Tribolium castaneum: one gene and its partner. The main gene of each other region encodes a partner of the protein of the gene in region 2 in a complex. Links are inferred from orthologs where the notes say so. Each region holds a gene or a part of one and is shown on either strand. Other genes may lie near its edges.

Region 1 (3,947 bases), on a different chromosome or scaffold from region 2:
TTATTTATCGTATGATTAGTTTCTTTGTTACTCGCAGTGTGGAATCTACAATTGTTTGTTTTTTCTGTTCAGTTTTTTTCCTAATAATTAAAAGTATTATCGTTCCACTCTGCTCTAGGTTACTCCGCAGTGCTTCAACGAAGCATTTAATTTAGTTTCAGATGCTTTTAGTTTAATGCTAGCGCTTAGTGATTAGGAAGAAAAAACTTCAGTTTACCATATGTCAAGGCATTATATGACCTTTTTACCTTATAATACTCACTTTGTAAAATAAAAATGTTTATTGTATATTGATTAAATAGTATAATTTGTTGTACACATTACAAATGTGAGTACAAATGCGACCGAGTCGCGTCATTTGTTATTTTCTAATCCTTACCATCTTACAATTGTTGTCTATGTTATAAATGTTTACGTAATGTTACAATTGTTTTGTAAATCGATCATACTTAATGCTCTTGTTTACTAATTTTTGTATTATAATCAGTATTTGTTGATGTTTTTTGTAAATGTTCGTAATTCTTATTTATGACAGTTTGCCATGGTAAAGGGATTTATATTATTATTATGTTTTTTGTTCTATTTTGGATCTCATTCAATTTAGTTTTTTTTGCTTGCTTCTTTGGCCCATAACTGCCAACTTTTTTCCAACTGTGTTCTCTCTGAAAGACAATACTCAAATAGACTACATATACGTACGAAAAATATGTACATCCAGACACTTTATATAAACTTTTTTGTTTATATTCGCCATAGAACATGTTTTATACTCAGATTACGTTATGTATAGTTATATCAGATTTTATCTCCTCTTTATTATTGATTTTATAAAGTATTTTTATACCTAGATTCATATATTTACATTTTATAACTTTATTATATAATTGTGAATTTATTACAAATAAACATTATTTAAAACAAATGAGTTTAACCCGACCCCCAAACCCATCCCAAACGATACGCCATTGGCACAAACAAACCGTCATTCGGTCCAACAACAAAATAGCATTAATTACCTAATTGGACAAAACAATAATTTAGAATTAATGCCAGAAACCGACAAATGCGGTAAATTAATACCTTTACCGCTCATAAATAAAAAAAATCAAAAAACCAAATTTTATGTAATTGTCACCAGGTGGCGGTTGCGTAACTTTTTGACATTTGACAACAATCACAAAATAAAATGTTTAAAAAACGCTAAAATCGGTTAATTACCACATAAACACGATGGCTGCAGTGTTGAAAAAACGCGCTTTGGCCGAATTCACCCAAACAATCCAGGTATGGGCTAAATTTCCCTTTGTCCAAAATGAGGTTATGTTTACATATTCCAGGAAACTGTTCCTTTCCAACCGATTAAAAAACTCAAACTTGTCAAGAAGCCTTCCACAGGCACCGGGAACTCGTCTTTGGCACTTATTAGTTGTCTTGAAGGTTGCAAAAGCAGTAGCGAAGCCCTACGAACTTTGCTTCGTGTCTCTGATACTTTCGAGCTTGAGGCTTCAGATATTCCCGAAGCAGTTAAAAAACTGAGCGATCATTTTAAGAATGAGCCAGAGTCGGCCGTTAGAGTAAAAATTTTGTCACTTTTGTGCGACATTGGGCATCTACCCAACGCTGATGTTGTGTCCATTATTGACGAGACGATTTTGTTGCTTAAAAATGACCATTCACATAAAGTTATCGCTCAGGGGATGAATACCGTGCTTAAATTAGGGAAGCTGGTCTCTGATAATGTCATCGCTTTGCATCAGAAACTGGTAGAAGTGGCGAAAAGTTACTTGAAAGATGTCAGTCATGCTGTCAAGAGGAAATGTCTAGAGATCATTGGCGTGCATACGCCGGTTTGTACGGGGGCAGAGGCGGAGAAATTAATGGTTTTGATTAGTTCGTACTTTAACCACGACGACGCCAGGGTGCGTAGTCAGGCTTTTTCGACGATTATCACCCTACATGAGCGCAATTTTAAAATAAATCCGGACATTTATATAGATGTTTGCGATGCCTTAAAGGACGACTACGAAATTGTCCGTCAAGTCGTTCTCAAGTTAGTGTGTCTTTTGGGCAACACGTTTCCGGAAAAGTAGGCTTAGCCTAAACCCTCTCTTCTATTTACATTTAATTGAAAAAATTTCAGTGAGGTTGTACTTCCGGGAAGTGAACACGAAATCCGTCTCATAGACGACGCTTTCGGTAAAGTTTGCAACTCGATTTCTGATTTATCAATCCATGTTCGAACCTTGGCGGCTAAACTATTGGGAACGATGAAACAAGTCAGTGCGAAATTTCTCAACCAAACTCTTGATAAAAAATTAATGTCTAATATGAGGCGCAAAAGGACGGCTCATGAGTTGGCTTGGGAAAATGTAACGAGTGGAGAATGGGCGAGTGGGAAAAAATGGGCCGATGACGCCCCCAGGGAAATCCTCGACGCTGACAGCATCAATTTGATGAGCAGTGGGGCGTGTGGGGCCTTCGTGCACGGCTTGGAGGACGAGTTTATGGGTAAATGACGAGGCAAAGCCGAGTGTCATAATTTTTATCTACAATTATCTACTTTTTTTTGACTTATTGGTAATAATACAGTTGTGGACTTTTAGGTAGTGGTAAAGAACTTTAGATCAATTTTTTTTTAATTTCTTTGATCATTAAGCAGATATCTGTTAAAAAAAATCATCAATTATGTGCCAATTAGTGTATTATGGTATTTAAAAAATTTAATAAGCTCACAAATTAGATAGTAAATTAAATTTGACATCATTGGGAATAAAAGAACAATGAATGAAACTGTTCCTAAGGAAAACAAATAGAAAATATACAGGATGGTTCAGTGAAGACAGTTCACCCAAGTTTTCGATGTTTGGACTCGATTTTTACAATTTATGGGGTTCATAAAGACTAAAAAAATTATGGCCATTTAGAACATTCAAATAAATAATTTAATAAATAAACTGTAATTAAAAAAAAGAAATTTTTAGAAAACTTATACCAAATAAAAAAAATAACACTTGGTGGAAGTGCGGGCAAGACGGGGTATGAGCTTTAAATAATAAACTAATTGACTAATAATCATTTTTTGTACGTGGCGAAGCCCAGTTAAGACAGCTTTTAATTGTAGATTTTTAATTGAACGATACCACCATGCCTTTTGCGAGTTTTATGAAAAAAACCTGTTTTTGGCGATTTTCTTATGATTTTTTTCACTTTCTTTAGTACGTGTCTGTTTTGTTAATAACAAAATTTCAAATTGCTTTTATGGTTATTCATATGTCAATGATTTTTCTAACAGGTTAACATCTATTTATTTGTAGATGACAACATAGTTTTTGGAAGTTAATTTTCTAACACAATTTGCCGTAAGAGGGCAAGACGGGCTGAGACCTTGCTCGTAACAGTAATATGTAAAACTCCTCTCTTCATAAAAAACCTTAAACCATAACAAAGTTTGGAAAATAAGCAAAAGAATAAAAATTACAGAGCTAAAGGAAAACTGAAAAATCTGGGGTTGATAAAAAGAGTGTTCAAAAAGAAAAAGATTTTAAGATTAGACCATCAATCGAGAGCAACAGTGAAATTGAAATTAGGGGTACCCCATCTTACCCACAAGGACTTTTTCTACTTTGTTTCACTTTTATATTTAATAAAGGTTCCAAATAAAACTTATTAATCACAAAAAACTAATTACCAAGGATAATTAATAATACAAAAATTTTATAGAGCTTCAAACGTTAAGTACCCCGTCTTGCCCGCACTTTCCCTATTGTAAAGAGGTTTTAATAGATTTTAAAATAACATCATAATTAACCCCTGTTTCCATTAAAAAAATATATAATTACAGGCAGCCCCTCTTTGGGGGTTGAAGTGGTACGAACACAAAGTAAATATTTAAGTGTCCCCCTTGGATATAAAATCGCACTGTCTTAGCGTTTTGAGTTAAGTGACTC
Region 2 (3,974 bases):
TTGGGCCACAATTCGCGTGAAAACGAACATGATGTACTGTAAACTACACGGACGTGTACTTTGCTCGTTGATTATTAAATTGTTTAGTAAAAATTCCGTAAGTGGTTCCAAGGTTAGGTCAGCTGTCAAAACTGACAGCTGCATTTTTTACGAATTAATGGGCCCCCATTAAAGTCAGAGCCACGTTTTTATTGAGTCCAAGGGGCGCACGGTTAAATGGTCAATCAATAATTTATTTATTTATCAATTAAGGCGGGTTCTTTCGGCTCGTTGTGTTGGTAAGACGGCGTTATGGTGGTACCGCCTGTCATCTGTCACTTTCCTTTACACGGTTGATAGCCGAAGTCACCACGTGCGTTGTGGAAAAAATCAGCCTTTTTGAGTGTCCCAAGCGTTTAAAAACGTACGTAAAAGCGTAAAACGACCAAAAACATGCCTAGTCAAGTGTTTGTGGTGAAATTTTGGCGTATTTTGAGCAATGTTTGTGTTTTTCCAGATGCCGTTAGCAGTCGATTTATTGCACCCTTCTGCCGAAAAACAGAAGAAATCGCATAAGAAGAAGAGGTTGGTGCAACATCCCAATAGTTACTTCATGGACGTAAAATGTCCAGGATGTTACGCCATCTCTACCATCTTCTCCCATGCCCAGTCTGCAGTCCCCTGCAAAGGGTGCTCCACCATCCTGTGCACATCCACCGGGGGCAAAGCCCGACTCACGGAGGGCTGCAGCTTCAGGAGAAAGCAACATTAATGTAGTGTATTCATTTTTTCTAATAAATTTTATTGGGAGTAGCCGCTTTTTCATTCATCCTTCCAGCCACCGAATGGCCTTATTATCTCTTACACGCAAAAAAGGGAAAATGTAGCAAAATTGTGCAATGTTCTAGCGCCCGGAAATTGGCCTAGTGCCAAAAAATCAATAAACACAAGACCAAAAACCAAAAAGTCGTCGCAATCTATTCATTCAACCATGTCATTTGGCCCCAAATCCACAAAAAAAATAACTGCAGGTTCAGACCAGTTGAGACACGTTAGGCCAGTTGACACTTGTCAAAAAACATAACCACACTTATCAATTAATTAACGACTATCCAAGCCGTAGAATGCCCCCAAAGGGCGCAATTAAAGCCAAAACCCCTCAACCAGCCTCAATAAATAAAACAATCAAGTATTAATTATCGTTTTATTCAAAATCGTGGTCAAGCCGGAGCCGGTAAAGTAGATCGCTGTCGCGAGAGCGCACATAACCCCAAAAGTGCCGTAAACAAAGCCGGTTTGTGCGTGAAAATGTCGTTTAAGAAAGGCGTGGACCCCAAGGTGTTCCGCGCCATCCAAAACGTGGACATGCACCAGCTGTCCGAATGCACCGAGGTGGAGATCCGCCCCGTGTTGCCCTGTCTCGTGCGAATGGGGCTCATCTCGCCCCTCGACACGTCGAAAAAATGCACCACCATGAAGGTCGACATTCTCACAATCGTGTCCGGGATGGAACTGGTCAATTCGATCGTTGCCCTTCTTTCCATCGATTTCCATCGACTGGAAACCGAGGTCAAGAAGGAGCAGCAGCTGCGCCAGAAGGGCGTAGCCCTCCAGAACGACTCGATCCTGATCGGCAACTTATCAAACACCAGCATGGCCTTGGAGTACGAACGCAGCGACATGACCCGCCGTTTGAGCATCTTACTCGGGGAACTACTCTACGTCCAGAGCCAAATCCAGGACGAAAACTCGGACACGAGCTACATCAAGCCCTCGGAACTGTTCGACAACGACATTTTCGCCGAGGAATTGTCCGATATTATCTGCATAGCCTTGGCTGAACTCCCCATAACTCTAAACATTTTGACAATCACTGAAACCCTCCTCCACTTGCACAACGGCCCGCCCATCATTTGCCGAATCGTGGCGAACTTCCCCGACTGCTTCCGAGAGGTTTGCACCTACTTGATCCAAACGGGGGAAAAACAGGAAGAAACCAAACTGAGCACAGTCCGAGCCGCCACGATTTCCCTCCTCTGTAAAATGAATCCGAGCCAGGCTTTGACAATCCGAAGCAAGTGCGTCGAATTGTGCCGAATGCCCGCGCTCGCAATCACACTATCTCTGGACGGCGGGGAGGGGGACATGGTGGCGTTCATCTCCGGGCTGTTGCTAGGCAACGACCAAACAATACGCAACTGGATCGCGTTATTTATCCGGACTGGACAGAAAAAGAAGGGGGAGATTTCAAGCACCGCCCTTTTGCAACTAAGGGAGGAGTTGTTACGTCGCTTGCACGTGATTCTCGCCGCTTCTGTCGAAGGCCACCTATTGGACAGTCTCGTGGTTCAAGGCTCCGCCCTCTTGCGCCTCTATTGTGCGCTTCGCGGGATCGCAGCAATCAAGTTTCAGGAGGATGAAGTCACGGCATTGGTGCGTCTGTTGACGTCACACCCAAGCCCCACCCCGGCGGGCGTTCGCTTCGTTTCCATTGGTCTGTGCATGTTGATTGCCTGCCCCTCGCTGATTTCGCTGCAAGAGCACGAGCGACGTAGCATCGAGTGGGTGCAATGGTTGGTGAAGGAGGAGGCGTATTTTGAGTCGGCCAGTGGCGTTACTGCCAGTTTTGGCGAAATGTTACTACTGATGGCTATACATTTTCATAGTAACCAGTTGAGTGCCATCTGTGATTTGGTGTGTGCCACTTTGGGGATGAAAATCCCCATCAGACATAACAACATGACAAGGATGAAGCAAGTCTTCACGCAGGAGATTTTCACGGAACAAGTTGTAACCGCACATGCGGTTAAGGTTCCGGTTACGAACTCGTTAAGTGCGAATATGACCGGGTTTTTACCCATACATTGCATCCATCAGTTGCTTAAATCGCGCGCGTTTGCCAAACACAACGTGAATATAAAAAACTGGATCTATAAGCAGATCTGTACGAGTGTTAGTCCCTTACATCCAGTGTTGCCAATGCTAGTGGAAGTGTACGTTAACAGTGTTATAATGCCAACCTCACGGAACACTGAGACTAATAAGCCGTTGAGTGAGAATGAGATACGGCGCGTGTTTCAAAGTTCGATCTTTGGACAGTATTTCGACCACAAAAAGTCGATTTTTACCATGGATTTTGACCTAAATAGTGAGAATCAGGACGTTGTGGTGGATGGTACAAGTCTCACCCCACAACTCCTCCTCCTCTACTATCTCCTCCTGTACGAGGACTGTCGATTGGTTAACGCCCACATTTTGGCCGCGTTTAACCGCAAAATCAAGTTGTATAGTTCCGAATTTTTATCGGAACTACCAATCAAATACTTGCTACACCACGCCCAAAAAGACCAAAGCTCCTATTCGGGTCTTTTCGGGCCGTTGCTCAAACTCCTAGCTACGCATTTCCCCCACTTGACACTAGTGGAGGATTGGTTGGACGATATGTCCATCAAAACGGAGCATAAGCCAACCCACGTGACGCAAATAAGCGTCATTGAGGCTTTCAATGACTTGGACACTAACCCATCAAAGTGTGCCAAGCTTATGCAAACTTTACTCAAACAGCAAGCCATAGATATATGGCCATTTGCCGAGATTTTCACACAATTCGCCCGCAAGATCCTAAATGACAATGTCCCACGCTACTTACAAGACCTGTACAGAGACGTATGGTTACGCTTTAATACGGTACTTCCCCGCCGATTGTGGGTTCTAACCGTCAAAAACCTAGTCGATGATTTCTCAAACCTGACACGAATCGATGTCGCTGAGGATCCTCTCCAGATCATGCGATGCGATGAGCGTGTTTTTCGCTGTGCCCCTTTATATGCGATTGTTTTGAGGGTGTTGAGAGCAAGTCTCGCGTCGTCTCGCAGCCAACTAATGCAACATTTGCAAGCTAATCCGAGATTGGATCATGCGGGGCAAGTTTTAAATGAGAGTGATAGAGAGGAGATGTGTCGGGCGACCATTGCAGCACAGGAAAGTGCAGCTGT

Evidence for each region.
Region 1: IntS2 (region 2) and IntS4 share a complex: the UniProt entries of both Homo sapiens proteins name them as parts of the integrator complex. The link is inferred for Tribolium castaneum from reciprocal best matches to the Homo sapiens genes INTS2 and INTS4.

Annotation. Positions count from the first base shown.
Region 1 is NC_087398.1:12,616,356-12,620,302, forward strand, and holds the start of IntS4 (integrator complex subunit 4), read left to right. Parts: upstream 1-1,143; 5' UTR 1,144-1,230; coding exon 1,231-1,284; intron 1,285-1,337; coding exon 1,338-2,086; intron 2,087-2,140; coding exon 2,141-2,508; intron 2,509-3,947. UniProt on the Homo sapiens protein: Component of the integrator complex, a multiprotein complex that terminates RNA polymerase II (Pol II) transcription in the promoter-proximal region of genes.
Region 2 is NC_087401.1:16,828,991-16,832,964, forward strand, and holds the start of IntS2 (integrator complex subunit 2), read left to right. Parts: upstream 1-1,171; 5' UTR 1,172-1,287; coding exon 1,288-3,974. Other genes in the region: Arc42 (short-chain specific acyl-CoA dehydrogenase, mitochondrial), read right to left, coding at 1-144; RpS27 (small ribosomal subunit protein eS27-like), read left to right, coding at 497-751. UniProt on the Homo sapiens protein: Component of the integrator complex, a multiprotein complex that terminates RNA polymerase II (Pol II) transcription in the promoter-proximal region of genes.